2 separate regions of the Mus musculus genome follow, and region 1 is reported to be linked to region 2. The links are microRNA targets in miRTarBase. Many come from high-throughput screens and were not tested one by one. Region 2 holds a microRNA gene; the other region holds the end of a gene's coding sequence.
Evidence for each region. The annotated mature microRNA mmu-miR-5099 reads UUAGAUCGAUGUGGUGCUCC and lies in region 2 at 2,770-2,789, opposite strand. An mRNA with a match to its seed (bases 2 to 7 or 8) in the 3' UTR can be bound and repressed. Matches are read on the target gene's strand: a 7mer-m8 pairs with bases 2 to 8, a 7mer-A1 pairs with bases 2 to 7 and ends in A, and an 8mer does both.

Region 1 (4,000 bases), not on the chromosome of region 2:
GTCAACTCTGGGAACCTAGCTGAAATCACCATCTTTGGACAACCCAGTGCACAGACGCGAATGAAAAATATTCTCTTGAACATGGCGGCCTGGCACAAAGAAAACGAACTCCAAAGAGGTAAGGGATTTTGACGACCCACCTGGGGAGTAAGCCGCGGGAGAGTCTCAGCTTCTCACAATTTCTTTCAGTTTCCAAACACCAGGAAACTACATTGTCCCTGGGTATCCCTTTCCAAAGCCCTTAAATGGCAGGAAGGTAGGGAAAGACCGACACACCAAGGTCCATTAACCCCCCCTGCTCAGCCATAGGCACCAGTCTTCCCAGATTCCAGGTCCAGAAGCCCTTCTCTTTAAAACTCTGCGCCCCTCCCGCCTGACTGTTGGTGTTGATCCTTTTCCAGCTGTGAAGGTGAAAGAAGTTGAAGAGTTCTTGAAAATTCGTGCCTCCTCAATCCTAAGCAAGTTAAGTAAGAAAGGGCTAAAACTGGCTGGCTTTCCGCTTCCGCTGGAGGGAAGAGAAACACAGATGGAGTCTTAAATCACTACACGTATTTTCTTACCCGCCTTCACGAGCACCTCCTGTTTATTTTTCTTTGCAAATAGCAATTTGTAGAACTATTCCAATATAAAAAATTTTTTTTGGTATGCTGTTGGTTTGATCACATACAGTAAAATTTATAAACACTTGAGTATTCAGTTGATGGTTCGGGGAGTATGTAGGTTGTATTCCTACGGTTTCTAACAACACTTCAGTCTGGCCCTCAAGAATGGCACAGTTGACTTAAAAGTGGGCCCTAACTCCTGTGTCAAGCAAGTTTTTTTTTTTTGTTTGTTTTGTTTTGTTTTTTCGAGACAGGGTTTCTCTGTGCAGCCCTGGCTGCCCGTGAACTCACTTTGTAGACCAGACTGGCCTCGAACTCAGAAATCCGCCTGCCTCTGCCTCCCGAGTGCTGGGATTAAAGACATGCACCACCATGCCTGGCCCAAGCAAATTATTTTAAGTTACCCAGTAGTTTGGGAAAAGGGCATCATTAAAATGTCAGCTCTTGATCCCTTTGTCCTTCCTTATTGAGACAGAATATCTATGTCGCCCCGACCGTCCTGGAGTCTCCTATTTAGACCAGGCTGGCCTTGAACTCCGATCTACCTGCTTCTGCCTCCCAAGTTCTGTGATAAAGGTGTGCTCCACCATTTCTGGCTACCCTTTTGTACTTTTTAACCTACTCCAGTTAAGGCAGTAGTCTCAACCTGGGATCAGAATATAATCCTGTATATCAGATATTTACATTACAATTCAGAAGAGTGGTCGAGTTATGAAGTAGCAAAGAAATGTACGATTGGAAATCAACACAACGCGAAATGTATTAAAGGGCCTAAGCATTAGAAAGATTGGGAACCATTGATTTATAGTGTGCAAGAATTCACTTGGGAGCTGGGCAGTGGTGGTGCAATGCCTTTGATCCCAGCACCTGAGGCAGAGGCAGGTGGATCTCTTGAATTTAAGGCCAGCCAGAATTCTGGAGAATCCTTGTACCAGGAATGGGGTTGGACAGGAGAATTCACTTTGGAAGGGCCTCAAAACAATGTCCTGGGCCCCTTCTCCAGTGATTCCCCGTGAGAGGATACATTAATTTGCAGCTCTAACATGCTCAGGATGCTGAAACATGACTTTGGGGCAATCATTTCTGCTCAAGGTTGCTAAGCTGTTACTATGCTTCCTGTTACCTGGGCCCCACCCCAGGAACTCCGGTTTTCTCACAGAAATTTGTCATACTTTTTTTTTTCTGGTGTGAACTTGATTTAAAAAAAGTCAATACCGTTTAAGCAGATTGATCATCATTAGCAGATTTATGAATAGGTTCATGCATAAAACTTAAAACTTTTTAGTAACTTCTGGACAAAATTCTATGTTTCTACCAGAATTTGTATTTATTAGCCTATACTTGAGCCCCCAAACTCAGGACCACAGGCTATGAGTAGCATATTTTCAGATAAAGCTTTGCTGTTTTTATTTATGTGTAAGGGTGGTTTTGCCTGTATCTATCTGTATGTCTGTATGTGCACCACGTGTGTGTCTGGTGCCTGCAGAGGCCAGAAGAGAGCATCAGATCCCTCCGCAACTATTGTTAGCTTCCATGTGGGTGTTGGGAATCAAACTTGGGTCCTTGGAAGAGCAACCCGATGCTCTTAATCACCAGGCCATGATTCCACTTCACAGATAGAACCGGCCTCTTTTTTTCCTTCCTCCCCCCCCCTCTCTCTGACAAAGGCTGTTTTTGGTTTTTGTCGCTCTCTTCAGAGACCCCAGACGAGGGAGGGCATCAGATCCCATTAACAGATGGTTGTGAACCACTCTGTGGTTGCTGGGAATTGAACTCGTGACCTCAGCTCTTAACCTCTGAGCCATCTCTCCAGCCCCAGAGCCTTTCAAAAGGGGCTAGAGTGGTGGCTCAGCAGATACAAGCACAAGTCTCAGAGGAAAAAGGGATGCAATGAATATAAAATTAAGTCATTTCATCACTATACCTGTGAACATGCACTCCTAAAGAAAATGTAAACAAAGGTGTGAACCTGGGGAAGATCATGTGATGACCAGAGTAGACCCAGACACTAAAGCAGTGACAATTCCATTTTGGACTTCTAACTCTAATTACAGGGACTCATTTCTGTTGTTTAAACTGTCTGGGTTATTTTGTTGCGATAGCCCAAAGAAGTTAACACATTTAACAGATCTGTGCTGGATTCTCTTATCCATTTGCCAATATTCTGTGCATGTGCACCCATACACACACACACACACACACACACACACACACACACACACACAGACTTGCAAGGAGAGTCCAGAGGTTAACTGATGTCTGCTTCAATCTCTGTACTTTTATGTTTTTGTCTGTTTGTGGTTTTCAAGAATAGCTTTCTTTGTGTAGCCTTGATTGTCCTGGAATCCTATCTTTAAATCTGTGTGGCCAGGGAACTCACCTGCCCCTGCCTCCTGGAGTGTTGGAATTAAAGGTATGGGTCTCACTCCTTAGGGAGTGGCCTTGGATGTTGGGAACTTGCTCTGTAAACCAGGCTGGCCTCAAGCTTTGAGATCTTCCTGCCTCTGTCTCCTAATCCTGAGAGTAAAGGAGGGGCCACCACACCATGCTCCATTGTAGTTTTTTGAGTCGGGGTCTTTTGCTGAACCTAGACCTCACCTATTAGGCTAATTAGTCCAGCTGGTAAGCACCAAGACGCCTCTATTCTCTGCTTTCTCAGCACTAGGGTTACATACAGGTGTGGCCTGGGTGCCTGGCTTTTTAATCAAACGCTGGAAAAATAAACCCAGTTCTGTTTTTGTAGCAAGTTCTATGCCTACTGGCTGCCCCCACCCCCACCTCCTTTGATTAGCCTCTCCCTCCCAGGTGCGGGGAGGAGGCTAGGAGATTGAAATGTACTCTGCCTGCAACTTGATAAATGGCAAAGAATGACCTTAAATTCCAGCTCCTCGGACCTCTACCTCCCCAGTTCTGGGATGAGGAGTGTGGCCCACCATTCCTGTTCTGCCCTGCGGATATTGAAAACAGGCAGAGTGCTCTGACATTCTTTTCTTCTCACTTAAGGGCCAATGTAAATTATGCATTAGCATTATGCCAAGCACCTAATCTGAGTGCTTGGGACCTAAGCAGTTGGCTCAGCAACGAGAGGGAGGTAATAGAACAGAAGCAACAACTCCATGATGCAGGCCTAGCTGTGCCTGCACTTTGTCTTACAACTGCTGTAAGGGGGTGGGGGCGCGGCGGGGGCAAGGGCTCAGCGCATCTCATGGCACCCATGGGGATGACTGAAGACAACCCTGGAGCCGTTTCCTTCCTCTCTATGGGCTCGGATACAGGTCTTCGTGCTTGGCTGGCAAGCTCTTCAGCTGCTGAGCCATCTTACCAGACCCTCTTTTTGTTTCTGAGCATGTGTAAAGATTTTATTTGACCAAAATAACCTGTAGTGGAGGAACTAGTAA
Region 2 (4,531 bases):
AAGAATATAGTGTTGCATGAAATAACTAAAGAGACTTGTCCATGTCTTAATTCTTACCCAAAATAGACTTTCAACTGATAAGACGCATTGTTTACTCAAGAATACTTTGACGAAAAACATTAAATTCCAGATTAAAAATAACAGGTGTCAGAAAATTTCACTCTTATGGTGGCTCATTTAACTTATACACCCATGGCCTGGAGTCAGATATGTCTCATTTAGTTTGCTTTTGTGGAAACCTAATAACTGAGTTATATGTTTATCAGTGAGTATAGTCAAGTCTGGAAGAGGAGCAAAGAGTTATACATACAAAGCATTAGCTCAAGAAAAATGGAATAAAACATGAGAAAACTTCAAGCCAAATGAAATCAGACTGTAAAGATTTCCTACAAAGCAGACACATTCTTTATTTCTTATATTCTTTGTACAGCACTTGCCAAATTTCCCTTTAATAGCAAGGGTCTATCACTTCAGCCTGGACAGGAACTTTTTTTGTTGATTTAAACACATAACCACACAAAGTGACTCGGTGGTGACCTTCAGTTCCTGTTCAATAGAACTGCCAGTAATACAAGAGCAGAGCATATGGAGCTAGAATCAGGAAGGAACTTGATGCTAAGGAGACACGTGAGACAACAATGGGCATTGATGCTGCCCTTTCTACCCATTTATCTTGGTAATGGGAGACCAAGGTTCACAAGTGAGACACAGGTACAGAGTACATACATTCTCTGGGAAAAATCATACTCTGGCCCTATGACATACGATCATCTTACCCTAACCGTTACTACATGTGTATCTTTAAAGACCATCCTATCATTCAACTCAACTAGTGTCTTCAGCACAGTGTGGCAATATGTCAGACTTGTATAATCTGAGGCCCATTGCTGCACTTCATTTGTCCAGAAGCAATACTATGTTGACATTCCTGACAGTTCATAAAGAAATCAGAAAGTTCACAATTGCTATAGTTGATAGAAATATCTTCTGCAACTCCCTGATCTTCTCACTCATGATCCCTGAGCCTTGCTGCAGGAATGTTTTGGATTTTAGATCAGTTGTTCATAGTTTTTTGAAACTTCCAAAACCACTACATTTTGATCAGTTGAAGTGCTTTATGTAGTGGTTTTGTTTTGTTTTTTGGAAGTTTCAAAAAACTATGAACAACTAAGAATTGCTAAGAGCTGGTGAAATACTCATCCCTTGAAAGAACAAACCAAATGTTTATTCAATATGTTATGGTCAGTCCTGAAATCATACACATAAGTAACATAAACTAAGATGATTGTATTTATGCATTTAGCACAATTAAAGAAAAAGAAGGCACGGATTTGAAAGATAATAAGGGAACACTAGAGAGGGTTTGGAAGGAAGGAGAAATGATATAATAATAATATAAAAATAAAAATTAAACTTAAAAAAGGCAATTATGTGTATGTAAAAAAAAATTCCATATCTAGAGTATTGTTCCAGTAAGAACAAAACACTGTCCTTTCCATAATGGCAGTGATACAATGACATCAACCAATCATGAGACAATTAGTTGCCCTCTCACCCCAGGAAATAATACCATTTTCCATCCCAGTGCTAGTCTCTGAAGCAGATAGCCTGGGTACTCAGCAGGGGCTATGGCTATGAAGATTTTGTCAGTGAAGGCCCATGTTGCAGAGCCCATTTTTAACATTTAACTTTGATACCACAACCACCTAAATCATCAGTCTGTTGGAAAATGATAGGAATCATAATACTCATTTTCAATAAATTATATTCATCAATCCAGATAAAACACCCCCCCAAAAATAAGAAAGATGGCATTCCTGACTCTCACTACATTAAAATTCATACTGAGTCATAATGTTCCCTTTGAAGCCAGATATTCTCTAACAAATACCCAAGTCCCAAGCAAGGAAACTCTCCCTTCACGTTGTTTATCAAGAAAGATAAGGCAACCTTCAAAACAGTATAATCATTACAATTGACCTGAGCTAATACCCAGAATTTGAAAGCAAGATTCAATTGCTGAAGACAACACATACTTCAGACACAGAACTTCAAAACAAGTAGCTGGTACTGACCTGCAAGTACCCCTGGCATCTAGCTCTCCTCGGTTAGAAGGTGTTATATAAGATAACAAGGAAGAAATGCAATCAGTAGTCCTACCAGCTGTCAAGAATGCTAGCCACAACAAGGACCAGCTTGACAAGATGTGCCCAATGGAGCAGCAGTGACACTTACATCTTTTATGTAATCAAGAGTTCTCTGATTGAACTTCAGACCTGATCAATGGGAGGAAATTCATACCTGGCACTTTAAATCTGGCCATCTACTAGAGTTGTAGTAATTATAGACACTAAAGGAAAAGCTGCCATTACTACTTCTTTCCCCCACCCCCACCCCCAAGGAGCACCTCGAGGATTGCAAGAAACAGCGCGTGCACACACACACCAGACAGGAAGAATATGCAACACCACCAGCCACATTCCCCGGCTCGGAGAACATGGTCAAGCGAGACACGACCGAAGTGAAACACGTAAGGGCAACCAGGCGCCTGACTCGTCCACAAGGACCACGCGAACCACTGAGAAAAGTGCGCGCTCGGGTAAGAGCTTGGGCCAGAGAGCCGCACCCCTGCCTTCCATACACCACCGGTATAAGGATGGGGTGGAGAGACGAGGGGCCCGAGGGCAGAACGAGAAGAGCGGCCTCCATTCGCCATGAATGTCTGTCCCTCGCCTGGCGCAGCTTAGGCCCTGGCCTGAAGAGAACTCAGGAGCACCACATCGATCTAAGCCCATTACCACTTCTTAAATCAATGTAATTTCTAACTGAATTCTAAACATTTATTCAAAAGTCACATAAAGTGCCACATCCTGTTATGGAATGTCTTCTTACAATAGATAGGGGTTACTAGAGAGATCCACAACTGGTAAATGTTCTCAGGGAAATTAGTACAGCTACAATACAATACAACCCCACATCTAATGGCACAGGAAACATGGTGGAAGAGAGATGTGGAAAGATTTAAGAGCCATGTTGTTGGGAAGTAGTTCTAATGCTTTGTCTCAATTTGGCTCCCAGAGCCTCACTTACAGACCTCAGCGTCTCTGCACCCAGCTGGCTTTGACTGGTAAATAAAGAATTGCTGTACAACCAATAGCTTGGCAAGGAGATGGGGAGGGACATTTAGATTGCAGTGGGCAAAGGACTGAGAAACAGAAGGAGGAGGAGGAGGAGGAGGAGGAGGAGGAGGAGGAGGAGGAGGGGGAAGGGGGAGGAGAAGGAGGAGGAGGAGGAAGAGGAGGAAGAGGCAGAGATTCACCATAATGGGGAAGCACAAAGATGGAACTTAAAGGCCCACTGGCATGTAAGGATCAGGAAAAGTAGCCCTAGGAGCCACTTACCCAATTGAGTCTGGGGTATCAGAGATGACATATAAATTTTAAAAGATGTTAACTCTGGAATACTTGAGAGGAGTGTTTGCTAGCAGCGGTAGGTTTAGAAGTGCCCAGCCACATCAAAATTAGCTGTCGCACACATGTGCACCCACCTGTGTGTGTGTGTGTGTGTATGTGTGTGTGTGTCTTTCATTCACGAATCTAGAGAGCTCTTGGTCAGATGCAGGTCACAAGACTCACCAGGAGCCAAAGTGGTTTAGTCAATTCACTGCCACATCATGTGCCTGCTGAAAGTGCCTTGTAGCCAGCCACAAAAGAAATGCTACAACCATGAAATCTCAGTAATTTAGTTGTCTAAACAAGCTTTGCATGAAGAGCACATCTGTCAAAAGGTCAATAGGGATGAGGAAAATTTCACAAGGCCTGGCCCATAATGATGATGAGTCCCAACTCCAAAGACCACTGAGGGATGGAAAATCAGTTTTCCTGGAACAAGACACTGATAACTTACCTAACCCAAGTTGGCAGCATAAATATATGTACAAATCAGCACCATGAAATGGACTCAGTGGTGTGTGTGTACACATATATATATATATATATATATATATATATATATATATATATATACATATATATATATATATATATGCATGCAATATAGATCACATATATTAATATACACATACATATACATTAATCTAAGTGGGACAGATGGAGGAGTTAAAAAGAAAGATGGAGGAGGAAGAAGTTGGAGACAGAAGATGGCAGAGTGGAAACAAGTGTAATGTATTTATTCATATCTAAATTCTCAAAACAATAAAACATTTTAAAAAGTAGAGAAAGAAATCAATTAGAGCTAGATGCATGGCTCAGCGGTAGGCTGGATGATGAGGCTCTGCAAGTGACGCTTAGTACATAAAACACACACACACACACAAAAAAAAAAAAAAAAAAAAAAAAAAAAAAAAAACAACCAAATCACTCTAAACTATTTATTGTCTTAGTCAGGGTTTCTATTCCTGTACAAGCATCATGACCAAGAAGCAAGTTGGGGAGGAAAGGGTTTATTCAGCTTACACTTCCATACTGCTGTTGATCACCAAGGAAGTCAGGACTGGAACTCATTCAGGTCA

Region 1: miRTarBase lists Ooep as a target of mmu-miR-5099. Seed matches in the 3' UTR shown: 7mer-m8 at 1,140-1,146.

The regions. Positions count from the first base shown.
Region 1 is chr9:78,374,093-78,378,092 of GRCm38, reverse strand. It overlaps Ooep (oocyte expressed protein), which reads left to right. Exons shown (of 3, transcript NM_026480.3): 2 at 1-118; 3 at 402-1,190. The coding sequence ends at 538. Among named protein-coding and RNA genes, the nearest start is that of Ooep, 2.5 kb to the left of the region's middle. RefSeq lists an enhancer at 2,683-4,000 and cis regulatory regions at 1,614-4,000, 1,614-4,000.
Region 2 is chr12:36,814,508-36,819,038 of GRCm38, reverse strand. Mir5099 (microRNA 5099) reads right to left here and starts at 2,834; the gene lies at 2,761-2,834.